Medicago truncatula: one gene and its partners. The protein of the gene in region 1 binds, or shares a complex with, the protein of each later gene. Links are inferred from orthologs where the notes say so. Each region holds a gene or a part of one and is shown in the gene's direction. Other genes may lie near its edges.

Region 1 (7,026 bases):
TCAACTATATTCCCACTACATAAGGAAAAACATATTTCGGGTCATTACTAAACTTATATAAAATCATATCATCTGATGCTGACAAAATAGAAAATAATACATTTTCTATTTAGCAATGTTTAGTTTTTTTGAATAAGAAAAAGATATGCATAATTTGTTAGAATATAAAGGTGCAATATATATATAAGATAAGCATAATTTTTTTAGGCATCTGTACCTTTTTTTGAAGAAAATACATCTACAATTTTACTTTTAATTAAAATCAAAATTTTGCCAAAAAATTTATACGCATTAGCGTAACAAAAAACAGACACACATAAAATATTACTCTAAATGCTAATATGTGTGTGTGTGTATTTGCGAGGTTGAAGAAAGAAAATAAAAATATTTGGTATCATTAAATGATAACGTGAATAAAAATATTTGTGAGGTTGTTATGATTAAACGATATTTAAATTAAATATATAAGTGATAAAAAGATAATAAAATTCCTTTGAAAAAAAGGTAATAAAATTAAATAGAACCTCCTTAAAAAAAATTAAATGGAACGGTTAAAAAAAAATTAAATGGAAGAAAAAAATATATTGAAATATAATATTAGAAAATAAAATAAAAGATTCCCAACGTGAATTGAAGAGAGATGCTTGTCAAATAAATTGTCGAGAAGTAGTTTTTTGAAGGAGCATTCAACAACTTTTGGCAAAAGCTCATTCCATTCAATTTTATGCATTAAAAAAATTACTTTTTTTAGTAAGTTCTTAATTGATATTGTATTTGACCTAACTTCTCCTTAAAAACGTAGAGAAGTTGAAAAAAACAGGGTCAAACAGTATCTTAATCTTCCACAACGGCAGTGTAGAACCAACTGAATTTGGGAGAAAAAAAGTTAGAAAATAGTTAAAAATAAAAAAATTTGAAAATAGTCAAAACTTTTTAAAAATATAAAAATTGACAAATAGTTAAAAAAAATCGGTGAGGTAGCACTCAACCAAGCAATACTAAAAAAAATTATATGTATTAGCGTAACAAAAAACAGACAGACAGACATAAAATATTACTTTAAACGTTAATATGTGTGTATATATTCGCGAGGTTGAAGAAAGGAAATAAAAATATTTGGTATCATTAAATGACAGCGTGAATAAAAATATTACTGAGGTTGTAATGATTAACAATATTGAAATTAAATATATAAGTGATAAAATGATAATACAATTCCTTTGAAAAAAGATAATAAAATTAAATGGAACCTCCTTAAAAAATTAAATATAACGGTTCAAAAAAAAAAAAGTTAAATGGAAAAAAAAACATATTGAAATATAATATTAAAAAATAAAAGAAAAGGTTCCCAGCGTGAGTTCAAAAGAGGTGCTTGTGAAATATATTGTCCAGAAGTAGTTTTTTAAAGTAGCATTCAACAACTTTTGCCCAAAGCTCATTCCATTCAATTTTATGCATTAAAAAAAGTTCCCTTTCTAGTAAGTACTTAATTGATATTTTGTTTGACCTAACTTCTCCTGAAAAATGTAGAGAAGTAGGAAAAAAAAAATCCGGGTCAAACGGTATCTTAATCTCCCACAAATGGCAGTGTAGAAACAACTGAATTTGGGAGAAAAAATTGGAAAATAGTTAAAAAAAACATCATTGAGGTAGCACTCAACCAAGCAACACTAAAAAATTATATGCATCAGCGTAACAAAAACACAGACAGACGGACATAAAATATTACTCTAAACATTAATGTGTGTGTAAATATTTGCGAGGTTGAAGAAAGGAAATAAAAATATTTGGTATCATTAAATGACAGTGTGAACAAAAATATTAATGAGGTTATGATGATTAAACAATATTGAAATTAAAATAATTGATACTGTGTTTGACCTAACTTCTCCTTAAAAATGTAGAGAAGTTGGAAAAAGTCGGGTCAAACGATATATTAATCTCTCACAACGGCAATGTAGAAACAACTGAATTTGGGTGAAAAAATTGAAAAATAGTTAAAAAAATAAAAATTGGAAAATAGTTAAAAGTTATTAAAAATTAAAAAAAAAATTGATGGGGAAAAATGGGAAATATGCCATAAAAATGATGAGGTGGCACCAACAAAATCCCACCAATTAGTAAATTACAAAAATGCCCTTCATTGGAGCAAAATGGTAAAATCATAGGGATTAATATTTAATATATATAGTAAATAGATGAACTTTAGTTTTCATTATGCTTTTTTTATTTATAAGTTAAAAATAAAATAAAATAAAATAAATAGAAGTGCTAAATATATGGTTTAAGGTAGGCTTGTTTTGATGTTCTCCTTGGAATTACGTTCACACGATTGGTGTAGTCTCATGAGCTATTTTTAGATAGGTTTGTTTTCTTGTTCTCCTTGTTACATTTAGTTATTTATTTAAGTTATAAATGGTAAACGTTTTCATCTCATGTTTTTTTTTACTCCTTTACCATACAAAGTATTTCTAACTGTAGTCGTAGAAGTTTAGAAATATTGACATTTTGTTTCTTTAATTTATAAATATTAGACATGAAAGGATCAAATGTCTACTATTGCAAATTAAGGACGCAAAATAAAACCAAAAACAATAAAAATAAATTAAGAGATCAAGGTGTTTAACATTTGCAATTTAAAAGATAAAAAAAATTAATTACGATTGTAATTTAAAAGATTAGAGAGAGAGAGAGTCTTGAGCATGTAGCAGAGTTTAAACTTTTAGGGTGAGTTTGCCGCTCATTTGAGTCTCACAAGGTTCGAGAGATTAGTCTCTATAGTTGTGCGCGAAGGATACTTAGTTAACACCCAAAAAAAGAAGGAGAGAGATAATATGTTTGAATGTGAAATACTCACAGTGTGATGGTATTCCATTATCAAATCTCACTTTGTACCGTACTTTGGTTGACAGTCTGGTGTATCTTACGATTACTAGACCTAATATTGCTTATGTTATTCATGTTGTCGATTAATTTGTTGTCTCTTCCACTACAATTTATTGAGTAGTAGTTCTCTGTTTTCGTCGTTATCTCTAAGGATCTCAATTTTAGAGTCTTCTCTTTCCCTCATTGTCTTTCATTGGAGTTATGTGCTTATTATGCAGACTAGGCTAGTGATCCTACAGATTGTAAGTCCACTACATTGTTTTGCATCTTTCTTAAAGGTTCTCTTATCTCTTGGGAAAGTAAGAAATAATACATTGTCTCTCGCTGTTCTATAGAAGTTGAGTATCGTGATATGCCAAATGTCATCCACTACTAAGGAAATTATTTGGATGTGTTGACTCTTGTCTAATATGGGTATCTCTCTTTCTAAACCAACTCCAATGTATTGTGATAACAATAGTGTTATTCAAATTGCTCATAACTCGGTCTTCCATGAACGCACCAAGCATATTAAGATTGATTGTCATCTTACTCGTCACCATCTTCATCATGGAACAATCACTCTATCATTTACCTCCTCATCTTTGAATATTGTTGATTTGTTCACAAAGATGCACTCCTTAAAATGTTTCCTTTTTTAGTTGACAAACTATTGATGCTCTAACTAATGCATCGTGAGTTTGAGGGGAGATGTTCGATAATAGTTATTATTTATTAGTAAGAGTATTTTAGACTTTTATATTAGCTAGTATATATTCCAATTGTAAGACTATGCATTCAATCTTTGCTCATTATGTTTATGAAACTCTAGCCTCCATAAGTTTTTCTTTTCTACCTATTCAAATATTAATGTCAGATAATCTATGTTAACGTATAGTTCAGTGAAAGCAAATAATTAGTATATAGTTTTGCTTCTTCTAGACAAATTTTATAAGTCCATCACTAATCTCACTTGTGCACCGTAAAATTGATTTCAAATAGATTGTTGGAGTGTGTGTACTAAACCGAGGGGTGGAGGTAGCATTTCCAAAATGCCTTGAGGTTCAAAGCCTATAAACAAAATAAAATAGTAACAACCAAAAAAATAAAATAGAAAAAGGAAAATAAAACAACGGATAATTCTTAATCTTCTTATTCACAACACAATCTTTCTTTCTTTCTTTCGCTTCAGAGAGTTTGTTTCAATGGCAGTTTCTTCTCTCTCAGCAACATTCATTCCTTCTCTTTCTCTCTCCTCAAATTCTTCACCATTGTTATCTTCAAAGCTAAAGCTTCAATCTCTATGCTTTGTTTCTGGTAATACGTTGAGGATTACAAATGCAAAACCTCTTCAATTGTCTACTGTTGTTCATGCTGCTCCTGAAGTTTTGAATTCTGAGGTAACCCTTTTCTTCATGTTTGTATTGTGTTTGGTTTTGTAGTGATGAATATTGATTTTGTTTAATTGGTTGGTTCTGTAGTAACGAAAATTGATTATGAATAATTTGATTCATATGCTTGAATGCATTATGAACAACAAATTTGAGTGTAAAATTCAATTCTAGAATTAAAAGCTCCAATTTTTAGTTTGCAAAATCAATTTCATCTAGAATCAATTTTGGCTTATTTAAAAGTGGAATGAAACATAAATTAAAAGTGATTTGAATGCAATCTGATTTATGTTTGGATAGATTCAAATAAATGCGATGAATTTGAGGCTAAAAATCAATTGTAGAGGTAAAACCTTAAAATTCTAGGTTCTAGTTAGTATAATTATTTTTGGAGGCAAAATCAATTTAACTTTCTTGTAACAACAATTATAATTGAAAACTTTCAAACTTGTAAAAATCAATTTTACACCTTTAGAATCAGTTTTAGCTCATGTAAAAGTGGAACCAAACATTTACTCAGAACACGAAGAAAATTTAGTTGATTGACATTTTCAATCTATTGTTAAATAGGTAATGAGTATCTAGGAATTTTCTCAATGCTTGGTTAATTAGTTTTATAAAACGTATTAGTTGAACATGTGAAAAACAATGGGGGTTTAATTTGCAAAATTTAAGGTTTTTGGAGACAGTGAAAAGGGGGAGTGAAAATTATTTATGGCAATGTTATGTCAATTATATGTAGTTTAATGTGTTGGTTAGTGAATATGAATTTCACTGGCTTCAGCAATGTTACGGTTTAGATTGGCCTACATTTTTCTGAATGTTTTAACTCAATTCAGTTGGTCTCTTTGTGATGATTATGTCTTGGTGTTTTTAGGTTGATGACTTAGAGACTCCGAGCACGTCAGAAATTAGCATTGGGGATAATGCAGACATGGTACGTTGATTGACTTGCTATTTTCAATAGTTGGCTTATATTTGTTTGCTTTTGGAGGCTTCTTATATGTGGTGCTCAAATTCCATTTTCAGTCATTTAATATGTAATAGCAATGAAATTATGAGACATTTTAGTGCATCTTTGGATTAGTGGTGAATTTAGCAAAATCACAGTGGCTCATTGCAATTTTGCCAAAAGTTACACTTTAGAGCTTCAACAAAATCACGGTGCCAGTGTGATTTTGCCTAACTCACTACCAATCCAAAATATACACTCAATTTGTAAATTGTTTTTGATAAGTCAAGTAATAGGTTATTGATGTTAGCCAGTTACTCAGCAGTGAAACATATGCTCCCTTGTCAAAAGTATGGCATAGTTTCAGAACAAGGTTACATTGGTCTCAGTATTATTAATGACATATGATGCATGTATGTGATAATTTTGCTGTAGTTTTGAATCATGCAACACATGCCCGAATTAATGTGATATATTTTTTGTTCACTTTTATGCATGACATGATTTAGTGTTTGTTGTTTATTTTTTCTGGTCGCTTATGTTTTCCATCACTTTTCATCCAAGAAACTGAAGCAGAAGCTTACATTGTTAATGAAAAGGAACTGAAGGAGTTATACTTAATGCACCTTATTTTATTATTTCACTGTTTGGTTATCAGTATTCTAAAACAAGAGCTTCCCAAACTCTTTCACTTACCCTTTAGGCCTTTTCATTTACACCCTATTTAGCTGTTCCATTGTTTTGTTTTCATTCTTCTGAGGGTTCACACAGTCCTTACTCACTCTATAAGCACCTTATTTGGTTTGCCCTTATCAGCACTCCGATTCATTCTTCTGAAACATGGATTTGGATTTGGTGCATTCAGCAATCCACACACAATCACACAGTCCAGGTCCAGGATATCGGTGAGCATTGGATCGAGATTGGACGGTCCAGATTTTAATGCATTTTTTTTTTTATTTTTCAAAAAATCTGAAAGACTGAGCTTAAAGTGTACTGTCTGATTTCAATACAATGGTTACCTACGTCCCTGACTGCATGAATGTGTGGGTGCTGACAGCATCAAATCCAAATCCCTGAAACACAGGCCTCGTGCAATCACACTATGTGATTCCTGAGGGTAATAAAAAAGGGGGAAAAGGATGTTACATGAAAATATTTCATTGTTCTTGACAATAGATTACACAAATCAAATATAGCAATCCACCAATTTCCATTGAAAAGTGAGGAGGAGAAGACGAGTTAATTGATGATATTTATGTAGAATTTACTGTTTTGACCTATAACTTATCATATTCCATGGCCTCTAATAAAATCATATCACCTGATAATTTTGTTTTTTCCCAATTTTAGTTGGCACCAAAGCACAAAATCAGAATCAAGCTTAGATCTTACTTGGTCCCCTTGATAGAGGATTCCTGCAAGCAGATATTGGATGCAGCGAGAACCACCAATGCAAAAACAATGGGTCCTGTTCCTTTACCAACCAAGAAGCGAATTCACTGTGTCCTTAAATCTCCCCACGTACACAAGGATGCTCGGTTCCATTTCGAGGTCAGAACTCATCAGCGTGTCATTGATATTCTCTTTCCTACAGCACAAACAATAGATTCTCTCATGCTGCTTCAGCTTCCTGCTGGCGTTGATGTCGAAGTCAAGCTCTAAATTTATTTGCTTCAGGTTTATAAGAATCTTGAGTATGAGTGAACTTCAACTTCCTACTAAAAGCAAATGAGTCGAAACTCAGCATGTCATATATTCCTCTCTCTGAATGTATTTCTTTGAACAATCCAAATGATCCTTTTGTTAACTTTGTCA
Region 2 (6,066 bases), on another chromosome or scaffold:
GCATAACATTGAAGTGATTTCCTAAGGCTTTTGACTCAATTACTCACGCCACATCAAATCAAATAAACTTGTTATTTCCTTGTAGATAAATAATATTCCCTCCATCTCAAAATAATTGAGTTATTTGAGAAGAAAAAAATTGTTCCAAATACACTCTAATTAATAATAAGCAATTCAACATATTATATTTTATATTTATGATAATGATGAATGCATTAGCACTTAATAAAGATATTCAACCATTTTTTCTTTTCTCTTTTTCACCACTACATTTTCTCTTAATATATGTGAAATAAACAAAAGACTTCGTTATTTTGAGACAGAAAGAGTATAATGTAAACAAAAAAAAAATCTTTCCACTCGCTAATTTCTGGTCATATTTTTACTCTTTATCTTTTGTATATAAAGATTATGATTATTATGTATGTATGTATAAATTATAATTTTAATAATTGATAAAGTTAAAATTTCGCACCCCCTAACTCGGGTCTTGGATACGCCACTGACCATTAGGCACTCACACATAAAAATACATTTTATTTAATTATTTAAAAAATAAATATGATCTAATTATTTTCTCTCTATCTTTTCTCAATTATGTATGTGTGCCTAAATTTAGTATGCCTAGACAAGTATTTTCCATGGATCTATGAGATTTAACAAAAGTCTTCAAACATGAGAATAACTTAAAAGGTTTTTGGGATGAAGTGGGTAATAGGGTCCGATCAATTTTACCAATATAGAATAGAAATCGTGAGAACAATGGACTATGTTGCGACATAAATTATTTTGTCCCAAATAAATGATTTTGCGACATAAAATATTTTTGACCCAAAATTCCATCCTAATTTTAAGTTTTTCTTCAAGTGGGTATATTTTGTGGGACAAGAGATTCAACTGTCATTCCAATCTGTAGTGTATTAAGTGCATCTCATGGGATGGGTTGGACTAGCTATCGTTGGATGATTAACTAGTATATACATATTGTGTCATCTCATTTCTCTTACTCTCTTTTATTCAAAAACTTACTAAGCAGTGCTTCTTTGTGATTTAACTTCACCTTTTTATCTAAGCATTGCACATGGAGTTAAATGATTTGAATAAGAACTAACGTGGTTGTTAAAATTAATTTGAAAAACGACTATGGTTTAACTAAACACATGTCTTTGCGAAAAGATTTTAAAATGATTAACATAATTCAAATCCCCTTTTGTCGTGTTTTTCCAACATATTCAAGTGGTATCAGTGCCCATTGTTGGAAAATATAAGTAAAATGGTTTGACTTGTTTTGTGTTTCAGATTCAATATCCACTTCTTTTTAAATTTTGAAAATTGAAGCTCCTGTTCAACAATTTACTTTTTATTTTAAAACCATGGATTGACAAAAAAAAAATCATGAAAATCTTGTCTTTTAAAAACAATTCCCACTTAGTTTTTTTATGGATTTTGTTAACGAGTGTCTTGGGGAGATCCCAAATTTTAAAAATATTCTTTAAAAAAAATCAAATGTTACAAATTCTAATGCATTAATTATATAGATTTTTATAAAAACTTATTATTAAAGGTGTTTAAAAAGTATTCCGATGACACTCGTTAACATTTTTTTTTTAGATAAATGATATTTGTACATCCATTTTATGACAACTTTTGTACAACCTTCTCTCATAATCACATTATCTTCTTATTCTCTCTCTTCCCTTTTTTTTTTTTTCTCTCTCTCTCTATTGTTTTTGACCAATAAAAAGAGAGAAAAGGTAGGTTGTCACAAAAGTTGTCACTAAAAGGTTGTTCAAATATCATTACTCTTTTTTTTATATACTCTCGGAGAAGAATAAAAATGAAAAAAACCTCAACCTATGTTTTGCGAATAGAATGAGAAGTTCTCATTCAAATTTGAATCTTACAATACTAACTTATGATGTATAGAGAAGTGAATCTTACAATACTAACTTATGATGTATAAAGAAGTACGTCAACATATGATTTTGTTAACAGAGATAGAAAGTCAGTTCAATTTCAATGATCTATGGTGATCACATTTGAAGGTGGGTAAAGAACACAAGAGAGGGGAGATTGAATCGTGTTGCCGATTTTTTTTCTTTTTAATTTAACCATTTCTATTAAGTCGACTTGTTTACTAAAAGTTGAACACAATAATTCTTTTATCTATTAAAATACTTTATTTTAAAACTAAAGAGACAATGTGAAGTTAAACTATAAAGAACTCGACATATGCATTGAGAGAGAGGATACACCAAATTCATCCTTGTTCACTGTCAATCTGATAGCTAGTCCACCTTATCCATAGTGATTTTGTCATCTCAACAAGAGAGACTTCTTTAACTATAATCTCCTCAAGAGTTATCCACCCCAATATTTCACGAAGCATCAATCTTGTCAAAATCCATCACCCCTATCATTTACCATGTTACCAACCATGATAACCACATCATTTATCCGGTTTTCCAACCACGTTGATCATATCACTTACCCGGTTGCATAACCATATGAGTTACCAACAATGGTTATGACTTAGTTAAGTCTATCCGTCATCTCACACCAAGTGAGGTCTGGTCTTTAAGGTCTGTGCAGTATAGTAAAATGGGTGCAAAGTAAAGTGGGGTTTGAGTTCGTATATGACTAATACAAAATCATTCTAGGATGATAACTATCTAAGAGAGGATATTACATAAAAATCATGTCTCAATTCAAGAGTACTTCTATCTTCTTGATTGATTTACAAATGATCTAGACAATTCTCACTCGAGAGGACGTTTCACAAAGTTCCTAAATCATGTTATTGGCTTTAACTAGATTTATTTTTTAAATAATAATATAAGCTTTTTTCTTTTAGGTGGGGTGTTTTGAACACTAATTGTTGATCTTCACATAAAATGATATGGTGATTGAAACATAAGTGATGATAGCAACAACAACAACTCTCTCGACGCGAGTAGGTTTTGTTTATATAAGTTCTAGAATCCTATTGTTGGAGAATACAACAAGGGTGAAGTTTAATATGGAAAAGGGAAGTTCTTTCCTATCATGGGAAAGTTTAACCACAACCATTGATTTAATAGTTTTTTATTTGGGTGGCTTAGATCTATGACTTGGTAATTGTTGTAACTTTTTGATGGTTACATGGTGGACCAAAAAAAACGACCCACCATTGATGAAATAACAATTTATCATTTGTTTTATTGATTTATTGTTTTTTTTAATTAATTTTTTTCACCATTCTTCCTCTTCTTCCACCCTCCTCTTTTCTACCTTCATCATCATCTTCATACATTAATCAACATCAAACTCAGAAAGAGAAGGAAAAAAAAAAACAGTAAGAAATTAAAACTCAAAAAATAACAATCAAAATCATAGATCTACTCTTCATCATTCTTCACCATCATCACTAAATATCCTATATCCACTCTTCATCATCAAGATCCATGGTTCCTCAATGATAACAACAACAACCTAAAATCATCATCTTCATTTTCATTTTTATTCATTCATTTTTTAAGAATTTGTATTTCCAGATTTTGAAATTCAATAAAAGTATCATCCCCTTATTACCGTAACTTAACCCTTTTTTTTATTTTTAAACAAACGTATCATTAACAAACACTCACTGCACAAGCTATGCATAATAGGAGAGAAGAAACATTACAAGTGCCAATAACAGTCCCTAATTATAGCAATATCAAATGGGAGAAGAAACCTAAGAACAGTAGCACGAGACCCTAAAGTCATGGTACCGCAAAAACCAAATAACAACAACAACACCAAGCCTCTACTGTCCCGGAATTATAAGGAAACATGATGAATGTTGAATGAAATGAGTTTAAACATTATTATTGAGTGAGGTAATTTGTGTTATGAAATTCATCTGTGTTATACATTAGCAAATGTACCAGAAAAAACAAAAAAGGATTAAAAAACTAATTTAATTTTCATTTTTTTTTATATTTTTGAACAGGTTTGAGACAGCCACCTGTACTGGGAAATGAACCTTTCCCATGGTGGGAAAGAAGTATCCATTCCCAGGTTAAATGCCACCTACAACAAAATATACAACCGTTGTGAGGATACATATGATAAAGTACAAGTATCTCTTGTATATCTTTGTATACAAAGTGACTAATCTGTCTCATCGAAGAGATTTGAGAGAATCACTTCTTTATACTTTTAGGATTTTACCTAGATAATTATCTTGATATTTGAACGTATCAATCATCCATACATCATTATAGATTCGATTTGTTATCTTTTGTACTTTGTTTCTTCATATTTTTAAGGCTAAAATATGGTTTTAGTTCCTGCAAATATGCTTCGTTTTGGTTTTAGTCCCTGGTAAAAAAAAAATTTGTTTTTGGTCCCTGCAAAATTTTTTGTTTTTGAAAATAGTCCCTGACCCCACTTTTGTGATGATTTGCATACGTGGCATATTATCACTGAACCAATTTTGTAGTTTTTGGTCTCTGCAAAATATTTTGTTTTTAAAAAAGGTCCTTGCAAGGGACTATTTTCAAAAACAAAACATTTTGCAGGGACCAAAAACAAATTTTTTTTTTACCAAGGACTAAAACCAAAACGAGGCATATTTGCAGGGACTAAAACCATATTTTAGCCTATTTTTAATGAATCAGTTATATGATTTATTAAATCAACTTCTTATTTTAATAGTTATTGAAGGGTAAAATTGGCCAATAAAAGTTTAATACAAGTAAGGCATAAAATAAAAGAAATAAAGAGAATGAATCACTATAAAAGATTTAGTTTTATCTTCTTCTTATCTCTTCACAACACAACACAACACAACACAACAATGTGGCTTCTGCAACTTCCCAGCACGCTCTCAACACCATTCCTCAACGGCAACAATGGCGTCGCCCTCACCCGTCTCTCAAAGCCCACATCCACACTCTCTCTATCCCAACCCCAATCCCTTCCATCAATCAAAGCTATGAAAACAATGGAAGGAAAAGTTGTGTGCGCTACCAACGACAAAACAGTGTCGGTGGAAGTTACTCGTTTAGCACCTCATCCCAAATACAAGAAACGTATTAGGATGAAGAAGAAGTATCAGGCTCATGATCCTGAAAACGTTTTCAAAGTTGGTGATGTTGTTCAGCTTTGTAAAATTAGACCTATTAGTAAGAATAAGACTTTTCTTGCTGTTCCTGTTCCTGCTAGGAATTCTGGTAAGGCTAATAATTCTTCCGGTGACCTCGACATTCCGCTTCAATCGGAGCAAGAAGAACAGCCTCAGACTCAGGCTTAGTTTTGCAGTCTCTCTCACTCTTTAATTTGTTGTGTTTTTATTTTTTGTACTAATATGATGAAATTGGAATTGAGAAATTGATGTTGTTATTGTTGTTGCTGTTAATTTGTTATTGTTATTATGAAAAATTATTATTTGATTAATGTTGCTTTGTGGGTGTTTGTTGAAATGTTGGATGTGGTTTATGATAAACCCTCAATTGTGAAATTGCTATGGTTGTGTAATTATGTTGAGAATTTTATTGTTTAGTGTAATGGATATGTGTTTGATGAAGGGCTCGTTTGGGTTGATTTATTTTTGAGCATATGCAAGCAAAACAGTTTATACAAATAAATAAACTTTTATGTATTATTCATAAACTTGTTTAGGTAGCTTATGAAAAAACAACTTATGAAGATACAATTTTAATAAAGCTTATTTGCATAAACTATTTTTCATAAGCTAAAAAATAAGTCAATCCAAATGGGCTTAATAGATTTTTAATAGTATGAAGCGCGACACACAAACACGGACACCAGACGCAACACTGACACATTGACACAATTCAATGTAATCACATGTGTTGGGGTTGTGTCGGACACATCATACGCCTGCGATCATAAGTGCCGGCGGGAGCAGGAGTATCCTCCTCCAAAGAGGAGTGCTCTTGAATTGTCCATTCTACATCACATGTCAGGATATAGATACTCTGATTGCAGAGAGCCCGAATTCTTAGCTGTAGGTTGGGTGTTGATCGTGTGTTTGGGTGAGTGTTTAACAAATGTGATTTTGAATTATCTTAGAGTTTG
Region 3 (6,224 bases), on another chromosome or scaffold:
ATAGGGTAATCTAGAAAAAAAAACCTTAATTAAATGGTTAAGTCATTCAAGAATAGGAATCTCCCTGAGCCATGGTATGTTGAATGACATAAAGTTGAGTTAATGGGCGGACATTTTTAATTTCTATGAATGTTCGGTTTTTCTTCCCTCGCTAGGCACACAAAACATCGCTTAGCGAATTGAAGCAAAAAATTAACTTTCGAAAAAAAAAATTAGATTCGCTAGGCAAACATGTCCTTGCATACCGAAGTCAAGCTCCATTTTAGAGTCAGAATCCCTCTCTATTAGGTTTGGTTTTAGAATTTCAGAACCCTTACAAATAGAGGTGCAGGTTATCATTTGAAGTCAAGCTTGCCTAGCAAATCAAGGTTTCTTCAAAGGAGGGAAAAGCCAACAGTCTTTAGATATTTTCTTGAACCGCCTTAGTTCACTTAGCGGATCCAATTTTGCCTAGCAAATCATATTTGGCTTTTCCTTTTGGAACTCATTGTTTTGGCTCGCTTTCACCATGTCAAGCTCGCCTAGAGATCGTGTTTTTCACCATATGTCTTTGGGATGCTCTGACTTGGCTTCTGGCGCGTGTGATTGCCTTCTTTTACTCTGTATTGGTGTAGTCATGCTCAAAACCTATAAAAATGTATGGGAAATAGAAGTAATATCTTTGTGGCACAATTTACGAATATAAATGATATTTATATCAAATTTGGGGGTTTTATACTGAATTACTTACAAAACAAGTTGATAAGTGTTATAGAAAATAACAGTAATTTGACACTTATCAAGTGACCTGATGCATGTTGGTGAAATGTACAACGATAATCTAGAGGGGTGAATAGATTACCCAACAAAAACATGGTTTTGAGATTTTCTTTGAAAAACGAAATTGAGTTTGAATATTGGAAATTGACAATCGTTTCAATCATATAAAGTATGTGTTTGGAATACCGGTGGAAAGCTCAAAAAAGCACTTTTAGGCAAAATCTGGAATTTTCAGCTTCATAAAATCACTGTAAAAGTGACATTATGTAGCGTGCACCGTGAAAAAAAATGTGATGCCAAACACTGCTAAAGTATGCAATGACAAATAACAATTCAAATTTTTTTTTTTAATATAAATAACAATTCAAATTTGAACAAGTAATTCACACTTGAATTATATCTATTCAAACAATCACTAATACACAATCAAGATATAAAAGACAATCCAATCTTAAATCAAACCTAATTGGATGAGAACAAAAACTAACACAGGAGACAATAGTATTTGATATATGATGATTAGATTGAAGTGTTCATATCAACAATTCAAAATGATTGAAGTCTCAATTTAGGTTAACAAAATTTGTTCACAAAGGAATTTCAAATTATTCACTCACTTATCAAGTATCAATTTACCTAATCAATAATTATCATATATCAAATAATAGTTTGCGAGAATTAAAAGAGAAGGGAGAAGAAGACATTGATTTACAGACATCTCCTCTATGGGTTTCTACGGCCTTCAATTTCCGAATCCAAGTGATCCTAAATTTTTAAGTTCCCTTGAGCTTTGACTAGTTCTAACATTGCACAACCTTTATGGACCCAAGTAGACTTAATAAAATATTTGACTAACTTGCATTCAGTTGTATTTCTATCTAACAAGTTATTTATTTTTAGGTGTAAATAATAACTAAGAACAATTATAGTATTTTCTAGTACAACTAGGTTATTTTTTTGATAAAAGTTTCACTTTACTCACTTTAGTGGATTGAAATCCTATCCAAAAACTTCTAAAAAAAATTAGATTTTTTTATGAAAAAGAAAAGTAATTCATTTAACTAAAAAAAGAGTACAAAAGACTGGGGGCAAAAACCCGACCCAGTATAACCACACAAAAGTAGGGCTGAGCAATAGACAGTTTCGGTCAAATTCAGGCCCCAAAGTGTCGATAAGAGATCAGAAACAAAACCATTTTTGATCGAATGAGACAACAGGTAATTCGGGTGACGGGTAAGATGGGTGACGGGTATCTTGGGAAGTTTGTTTCAGTTGAGACCATAGAAAATCCTCATTTTCCTTTTCTCAAGTTTCAAACAGCCACACCGGTTGTTAGTAGGTGGTTCACCGACATCATCATGTCGACGCCACTCGAAGAGGATTAAGATTGCATCGGTAGTTTTTCTTCTGTGTGGACAATATATCGTAGCACATGTGCAAAGCCATTGTAAGCATTCGTCACATGGTGGAGGATGTTCGCGACGACCTTGAGTGTAAGAGAGCAAGTAAATTTTGTTGAAATAAGAAATCTTCAAAATAAAGGGTTTACACAAAACCAAACTTGAATGGAAAATTGAAATTCTTTTAGAATTGAAAATGTAATACAGTTTGTTTAACTTTAAAGATAAAAGAAAAGTGGAACAAAATATTGTTTGCGTGTTGAAAGTTTAAAAGAAAAATTAATGTTTGTGTCAAATTATAGTTTCAAGGCAAGACAAGTAATAATCGAAGTCTTGAAAAGTTGAAATCCATAATTGTGTACTCGATTTGCTTTTAAACCCGACTGTTTCCCCCATAAAGCTGACGTTTGGATGGGTTTTAGGCAGGACAAGGGTTTATGCACACCCCCACACAAAAGTGATCGAATCATCCCTGACAAACAAATATACAACACAAAGATGGTATCGAACCTATCCTAAAGGGTAATGAATAGAAAATACGATCTTGAATGGGATAAGAACAATCACCATAACTGATGGTTCAACATAATCCAAACCCGAAGCATCATACACTTGTTGCATAACCCAACATACCTGCAACACAAGTGCAAAACCAAATTGCAAAGAAAAAAAAATTAAATAAACCTGTGACGAATTTTGACAAAGCATCAACAACTTCAAGCCCAAAACACATGACACACATTGTACTCGAATTAAGAAAACAATAACTCAAACGCAGCACATGTGAGCATTAACTCACATAGACATCAATCCGCGCAACATTGGTCAAGGAAAACCAACATGGCGATCACTAAAACAAATGACAATGAACAACAAGCCCATATATGAATTAACATTAGATCCAACGCAAAATTAATTCGTATTGAACAAAGAATCCAGGAACTTAGAAACACAAGAACCAAAGGCGGCTAAAAAGTTGAGCGAACTAGCAACAAACAAAGCCATCGAGATTCGTAGATACGGATGAGAACCCAACTTCATATCGAAGGCACCATTTTAGATTAGGAACCAATCATTAAAGCGCGATAAAGAAAGAACCCAACATATGTCGTGACGGTGGAGGGCGATTGCACCACCAGTCAAAGGATCTACATTTCAACAAAAAAGTTTTGGATTGTAAGGAAAAAGTGAAAAAGACTAAGTGTGCTGCGGTAAAGAGTTTGAAGAAGAAAAAGAAGAGAAATCTTCTCTCTTTGTAGAATTTTCCCAAATATGTTTCAAGCTCAAAAGAAAAGTAATATTAAAATATCTCAATTAAACAAATTAATTTTTGGTTAAAAAATTAATATTTCTTTTAAAAAAATATATATTTTGAAGAGAAAAAAAAAAGTTTTAATTGCACTTTCGGTCTCTTATCTTTTCAAAAGTTGTGATTTTAGCCCCCTAACTAATAAAAATACAAAATAGTCCCCTATGTATTGGATCTTTGGTAGTTTTGGCCCCTAAGATCACTTTTGACTTAGTCTTCGCTGACGTGGCATCCACATCCCTTAAGTGAGGTGCCACGTGTCGACCATTGTGGATGTCACGTCAGCGAAGACTAAGTCAAAAGTGGTCTTGGGGGCCAAAACTGCCAAAAATTCAATACATAGGGGGCTGTTTTGTATTTTTATTAGTTAGGGGGCTAAAATCGCAAGTTTTGGAAATATAAGAGGGCAAAAGTGCAATTAAGAAAAAAAAAGACAAGTATTTGAAATTTCATGAAAAATGGACAATATTTAAAATTGACCATTGATGTAATTTACTAATTAGATGTTCATTCTAAACCATTGGATCTAAAAAATCGCAGCACATATATTCCTCAATCAAACCAACCTTATCAAAGTGCCTTCGTTATCTATCCTCTCAGTTATGGCCATGGCATCATCACTGCTTCTAGCATCACCTTCTCCACTCTCTCTTCAACTCCACGCTTCCTCTTCTCACCTTTCCTTCTCTCAATCCCAATCTCTTCACTCACCACTCATCACTTCATCATTCCCTACCCTCTCTTCAACCTTGTCTCTTTCACCAACCCCTTCTGGTAACTTTTTTCTCCAAAAAAAATGGAAATTTTGTTGTGAATTTGGCTTATTGTATTTGAATTTTGATGACCCAGTTATTGATTTTGGTTCTTTTTTGTTTTCTTGTAGTGTATTGTGGCAGAGGTGATAGGAAAACTGCCAAGGGCAAACGGTTCAGCCATTCGTTTGGAAATGTAATGTTCTTTTTTCCCAATTCCCCCACTTATTTCAATTATTGAGTGTATGTTTGGTTCCAACATGAATTAGTTTTGTTAGAATTGATTTTAGTTAAAAGTGACTTTATCATAAATTTATCATGTTTTACACATACATTGCTGTAAAAGTGATTTATTTTTTTTAAGAATCAAGTGTAGTATCTTATCTTATTTTGAATTAACAAGTGATTCTTAATTCATAGTATTATTTTGGATAGTTTGACTGATTGAATTAAGTGTAGTGTCGTATCAGTTTAATATTTGATATGTGAGCCAATGACGCATGATGTTAAATTTATTTCTTGTTGACGCATGATGTTAAATTTATCATGTTTTACACATACATTGCTGTAAAAGTGATTTTTTTTTTTTAAGAATCAAGTGTAGTATCTTATCTTATTTTGACTTAACAAGTGATTCTTAATTCATAGTATTATTTTGGATAGTTTGACTGATTGAATTAAGTGTAGTGTCGTATCAGTTTAATATTTGATATGTGAGCCAATGAAGCATGATGTTAAATTTATTTCTTGATGGGGAGATTCCACCGATACTTGCCTCTCGCGCGTTGCTTTGAGTGGCACTATACCATTTCTTTGACGCACCCCAACTAAGAAAAGAAATTGTTTGAATCAAAATTGTTTTTGGATGTGATTCATATTAACATTAAAGTAATTCTTCCCTTTTTGTTTTGCTAAATTATTAGTGTTGAATGTGTTTTCAGTCTTTATAATTTATATTTTTTGTTTTTAGTCATTGAACCGATTTTTTTGTCCTAAAAAAGGGACTAAAAACATACATTTTAGTAATTTGTAGGATTGAAAGGTTAATACTGATCCTAAAAACAAAATTCGAAATTATTAAAGCACTGAAAACATATTCAATCTTTATTATTTGTCGTGGATATTTGTTGAAATTGTAGTGGATGTTGTGGTGAATACTTCCAAGGTTATTTTGAAAAATATGTTATTTGATGTTATCAGGCAAGGCCGAGGAACAAGAACAAGGGTACAGGACCACCAAGGATTTATGCTCCACCAGATGCTACCAAGAAAGAGAAGCTTGAAGATAAGGAAGTGATTGAGATTGAAATTAATGAATCCCTTTTTCCTAGTTAGTTGATTTTAGTGTTGCACTGTAATTTTGAGAGTTTCATGATTTATAGTTTTTGACATATGGATTCCATTTGGCATATACTATTTGGATTTTGCTTGTTATCCTTATTTGAGTTCACTTTGCAACCTTATTTTAGTCTCTATTATGTAAGCTCTTGCTATATCGTATTGAGGGTGGGATTGGAAACACTCTTATAGTCGAGGTTTAAAATCCTGGTCACAGTTTGCGAAAAAGTTGTAGGCAAATACTGCCAATTCGGTCATAATTTTTGTCGCGATGTGGTTGGGAAGACATCAAAAACCTCGATGTCGTGGATTTTTCTCCTTAGGATCTGTGCTGTTGTAGATGTCTAACAACCAAACAAAAGTTTCCTATGGGAAAAAATGGTTAGGAACGTTGGTAGAGTGATAGAATCCAAAAATGTTGGAAAGGTCATGTTTGTTGAATTAAACCTTTGCTTCTGCAACGTGTATGCTGTTGTTACACAGTCACTCTTATGCGCTCAATTTCGGGCATATGTTGCATGGTTTTTCATTATTTGCATTATACTTTTATGGTGTTGTTTGATTCATGTTGTCAACCCAAGACTTTGGTTGTTACTGTCTTCTTAGAATACTTTTAGACATGTTAGAGTTAAACAACTTAGAAGAGAGATGAAGATACCGACTAGT
Region 4 (4,847 bases), on another chromosome or scaffold:
CACCTACTCTAAACTTCCGGGGGTATGCGAAAAATGATAATAGATCGAATCGTTAACATTAATTTTAAGGTAAATTTAGTATACTAATAGTCATTAATAAATAAATATTAATTAATAAACTCATTTCATTTTTTCGTGAAAATATAACCTTAGGAGAAAGAAGAACCAATACATAGAAGTATAAGCCTTTGGTCAAAAAATATTTGTGTCTATTCACAAGACAAAGCGCGAATCGTAATTCATAATATTTCTATTTTTAAAGGGTTATTATAATAGAAATTATGCTTTATGGAGTTGAGCATATTATTCTATTTTTTTTTTTTGAATTGCTTTATTCTGCAGGAGAAAATGCTAGTCACAATATATAGTTCAACGAACTAAGTCAATGAGTCATAAAGATATATAATATTTTTTATATAAAAAAAGTAAAAAAAAAGATATAGATAAAAAAGTAGACAAATAAGACGTATTATTTTATATAGAGTAGTGAGGAATTATGGGACAAAAAATACATCCGCTTGGTTTCAGACTTGGTACAACTCAAAATCATGATTCTATTTGGTTTGCACAACCAAGAAATTATTCCGAGAATCTAAAAGAAGATAAAATAATACGAGATTGTATCAAGAATTATATACAAAAAACCCCCGGTGTCGAGGGAATTGGACGAATAAAGATTAAAAAAACAATCGATCAGATTCAAGTCATAATCTATATGGTACTTCCAACGTTATTAACGGAGGGTAAGCCTCGAAGAATCGAAGAATTACAGACTAATGTACAAAAAAAACTTAATTGTGTGACGCGAAAAATTAACATTACAAGTACAAGAATTCCAAATGCTTATAGCGACCCTAATATTCTTGCAGAATTTATAGCTGGACAATTAAAGAATAGAATTTCGTTTAGGAAAGCAATCAAAAAAGCTATTGAATTAGCTGAACAGGCAGGTACAAAAGGAGTTCAAGTACAAATTGCGGGACGTATCGACGGAAAAGAAATTGCACGTGTCGAATGGATTAGAGAAGGTAGGGTTCCTCTACAAACCATTCGAGCTAAAATTGATTATTGTTCCTATCCAGTTCGAACTATTTATGGGGTATTAGGAATCAAAGTTTGGATATTTCTAAACAACGACTAATTTACTTTTCCTTATTTTTAGCGTTCCATCTTTTGATAAAAGAAAAAATGACGAATTCTTATTCCCAAAAAAGAAATGACAAATTTTATAAGATTGAATAAAAAAATTGATTAATCATTTTATAGTAAAGGAGTTGCTATGCTTAGTGTGTGACTCGTTGGTTTTTTTTAGAGTGGTTAAATTTCTACAAGAATTCGTAGAATTAATTACTAAAGAATTAATAACCTACTCATCGCTTACCATTATCTGGATATAAAGAACCGCGGAAAATAGAAAATCAAAATAAAGATCTATGTGGTGATATAATTATAGCAACTGAAATAAAAAAGAATCTGATTATTAGTTGTAAAGCAATAAGAATATACAGATAAATGAAGGGGTGAAAGAAAGATAGAAAAAAAGATATCAATGATATAGAATTCGACTATGTAAAGGTCTATGGGTCATTTCGTAAAAGGTAGTGTAATAAAGCATCAATATTCTAAATTCATCCATATATGGATGAATATATTCGTAGAATAGACAAATCAAGAGCTGCGAATCAATAAAACTGAGAAGGTTGATTCAACAAAAAAGAATAAAATAAATAAGAAAATTTTATGAAAATAAAATCTTATTAATATTAAAGAGGCTCCATTGTAGAATTTAGACCTAACCATAAATAGAAAAGCGATGGGAACGATGGAACCTGTGAATACCTAAGATTATATTAAATTTCATAATCTTACTGATTCATTAGATGGGATGGCGGACGGAACTAAGAATTCATTATTTTTTGAGGAGTTGTGGACTAACCCAACATTACATCTTAAATTTATAATGAAAGAGTAAATATTCGCCCGCGAAAATGTGGATTTTTTTGAATTTAGAAATTTTTGCCAATATGATAATAAAAAAAAAAAAAGACAAATATGGATTCGTTAGAACCTTATATCAAAACAACATTATCTAGTTAGATATGGATAGCAAAAATGGTCTATAAGAATCCATATTTGGTTCTATATCAAAGCAAGATATACAAATTTCTAATATGTCAAAAAATCCCGCGATTGTATTCTATTTTAAATTTAATATTGTAATTTAAAATTAAATTTTTTTTGGTTAAATATTTTTGAATCGATTTATTCGCGAGGAGCCGTATGAGGTGAAAATCTCATGTACGGTTCTGTAATAGAGATGGAATTGAGAAATAACCATCAACTATAACCCCAAAAGAACCAGATTCCGTAAACAACATCGAGGAAGAATGAAAGGAAAAGCCTATCGAGGTAATACAATTTCCTTCGGAAAATATGCTCTTCAGGCACTTGAGCCCGCTTGGATCACATCTAGACAAATAGAAGCAGGGCGACGGGCAATGTCACGAAATGTTCGCCGAGGTGGGAAAATATGGGTACGCATATTTCCAGACAAACCTGTTACAGTAAGACCTACCGAAACGCGTATGGGTTCGGGAAAAGGATCTCCCGAATATTGGGTAGCTGTCGTTAAACCCGGCAAAATACTTTATGAAATGGGAGGGGTCCCAGAAAATATAGCTAGAAAGGCTATTTCAATAGCGGCATCCAAAATGCCTATACGAACTCAATTCATTCTTTCAGAATAATCATTAGAACGAAATAGGTCTTTAGTATGAAAAAAATGGTAATTGTTGGTTTCTTTTTTTTTTTTTTTGAACACAGAATATTTTTTTTACTTCAACTTTTTGACTGAAAGATAGAAAAAAATGATATGATTCAACCTCAAACCTATTTAAATGTAGCCGATAATAGCGGAGCCCGCGAATTGATGTGTATTCGAATCATAGGAGCTAGTAATCGACGGTATGCTTATATTGGTGACATTGTTGTTGCTGTAATCAAAAAAGCAGTACCAAATTCATCTTTAGAAAGATCTGAAGTGATCAGGGCTGTAATTGTACGTACTTGTAAAGAACTAAAACGTAGTAATGGTATAATAATAAAGTATGATGATAATGCGGCGGTTCTCATTGATAAAGAAGGAAATCCAAAAGGAACTCGAATTTTTTCCGCAATAGCCCGAGAATTGAGACAGTTAAATTTCACTAAAATAGTTTCATTAGCACCCGAGGTATTATAATACGAGATCGTGATATAGATATATTATTTAGGACTGGAATGAATAGGAAGGAAATCTATTTGAATATATATTTGAATAGAAGTGAAATAGAGTCCTAAATATATTAGATCTCACATATATACCTTATATACTTGTGTAATCATTATTCTATAATTATGAATATTTATATTAAGATTATTACATAAATATGAAAAGTATACATATCGATAAGTTATTAGAAATAGTAAGTCATTATATTAATTAATAAATATTTTTAAAACGAAATAATAATAATAGATGAAAAAAAAAAAAGAAAAAGGAATGAAATCTATATATATATTGAATATATATATAGATATAGATAGATTCAAAATACAAATTCGAATTCAGAATTCTATTTGTATTTTTTTTTTATACTTTATACAAAATACAAATAGAATTCTGAATTCGATATAATATTATCTATCTAGTTTATAATTTATAATAGGTCATTCATTCATTTTCTTTCTATCTTTTTTTAGTTTTAGAATATTCTATATTATAGATTTACATTATACTGATTAGACTAATTAGAATTTTCTATCTATATATAGTATTATTATATTCTCATATTCAATATATGATATTTTATTGAATCAAAAAAAAAAAAAAAAACAAAAAACAGGAGCACGTTTATTATATCGAAAGTAAGGAGCAATAATCTATCGTGGGTAAAGATACTATCGCTGATATGCTAACTTTGATACGCAATGCTGACATGAATCGAAAAAGAACGGTTCAAATACCACTTACTAATATCACCGAAAACATTGTGAAAATACTTTTACGAGAGGGTTTTGTTGAAAACGTTAGAAAACATGGAGAAAGCAACAAATACTTTTTAGTTTTAACTCTACGGTATAGAAGAAATAGGAAAGAATCGTATAAAACTTTTTTAAATTTAAAAAGGATCAGTACACCTGGTCTACGAATCTATTCTAACTATCAACAAATTCCGAGAGTTTTAGGAGGAATGGGGATTGTAATTCTTTCTACTTCTAGGGGTATAATGACAGATCGAGAGGCTCGATTAGAAAGAATCGGCGGCGAAGTTTTATGTTATATATGGTAATGGTAAATTTGCCGATATCCGATTTCTATGAAAAAATTATATACATTATTGTAAATGGAGTAGAGAAAAAATGGATTTCTACTATGTACTCCTGATACCTTAGTGAATGTGTGAAGAGGATTTAACTAGAATAGAAATAAAAATTCATGAAGATTAAATTACTGAATAACTTCTGAGGGTATGTTCCATGTTAGAGAAATAGAATTTAAATAAAATTCTAGGCTATGTTTACAAAAAAATTGAACGTACTTAATGTATACGACCGGTAAAGGAGAAAAAGGAAGTATAAGTCACTTAATTTAATTTTTTAACTTTAAACATGTTTTTTAGGAGGCACAATTATAAGTTAAAAATGTAAGGAAAACCTATTTTCTTCGAATATATAGATTTGGCATTCCATTTTAGTTAAGGAGTTAATTTAAAAATATGAAAGTAGGAGCCTCTGTTCGTAAAATTTGTGAAAAATGTCGATTGATACGCAGGCGAGGTCGAATTATAGTAATTTGTTCCAACCCA

The links.
Region 2: cyanelle 30S ribosomal protein S10 (region 1) and 30S ribosomal protein S17, chloroplastic share a complex: the UniProt entries of both Arabidopsis thaliana proteins name them as parts of the 30S ribosomal subunit. The link is inferred for Medicago truncatula from reciprocal best matches to the Arabidopsis thaliana genes AT3G13120 and RPS17.
Region 3: cyanelle 30S ribosomal protein S10 (region 1) and 30S ribosomal protein S31, chloroplastic share a complex: the UniProt entries of both Arabidopsis thaliana proteins name them as parts of the 30S ribosomal subunit. The link is inferred for Medicago truncatula from reciprocal best matches to the Arabidopsis thaliana genes AT3G13120 and PSRP4.
Region 4: cyanelle 30S ribosomal protein S10 (region 1) and rps8 share a complex: the UniProt entries of both Arabidopsis thaliana proteins name them as parts of the 30S ribosomal subunit. The link is inferred for Medicago truncatula from reciprocal best matches to the Arabidopsis thaliana genes AT3G13120 and rps8.

Annotation. Positions count from the first base shown.
Region 1 is NC_053044.1:26,399,373-26,406,398, reverse strand, and holds the start of cyanelle 30S ribosomal protein S10, read left to right. Parts: upstream 1-4,005; 5' UTR 4,006-4,070; coding exon 4,071-4,265; intron 4,266-5,133; coding exon 5,134-5,193; intron 5,194-6,561; coding exon 6,562-6,873; 3' UTR 6,874-7,026.
Region 2 is NC_053043.1:49,901,282-49,907,347, reverse strand, and holds 30S ribosomal protein S17, chloroplastic, read left to right. Parts: upstream 1-4,783; 5' UTR 4,784-4,822; coding exon 4,823-5,278; 3' UTR 5,279-5,551; downstream 5,552-6,066. UniProt on the Arabidopsis thaliana protein: One of the primary rRNA binding proteins, it binds specifically to the 5'-end of 16S ribosomal RNA. Required for optimal plastid performance in terms of photosynthesis and growth. Required for the translation of plastid mRNAs.
Region 3 is NC_053045.1:4,921,353-4,927,576, forward strand, and holds 30S ribosomal protein S31, chloroplastic, read left to right. Parts: upstream 1-4,022; 5' UTR 4,023-4,070; coding exon 4,071-4,242; intron 4,243-4,351; coding exon 4,352-4,416; intron 4,417-5,420; coding exon 5,421-5,555; 3' UTR 5,556-5,683; downstream 5,684-6,224.
Region 4 is NC_003119.8:41,802-46,648, forward strand, and holds rps8 (ribosomal protein S8), read left to right. Parts: upstream 1-3,926; coding exon 3,927-4,331; downstream 4,332-4,847. Other genes in the region: rps19 (ribosomal protein S19), read left to right, coding at 1-56; rps3 (ribosomal protein S3), read left to right, coding at 497-1,141; rpl16 (ribosomal protein L16), read left to right, coding at 1,280-1,288, 2,337-2,747; rpl14 (ribosomal protein L14), read left to right, coding at 2,873-3,241; rpl36 (ribosomal protein L36), read left to right, coding at 4,758-4,847. UniProt on the Arabidopsis thaliana protein: One of the primary rRNA binding proteins, it binds directly to 16S rRNA central domain where it helps coordinate assembly of the platform of the 30S subunit.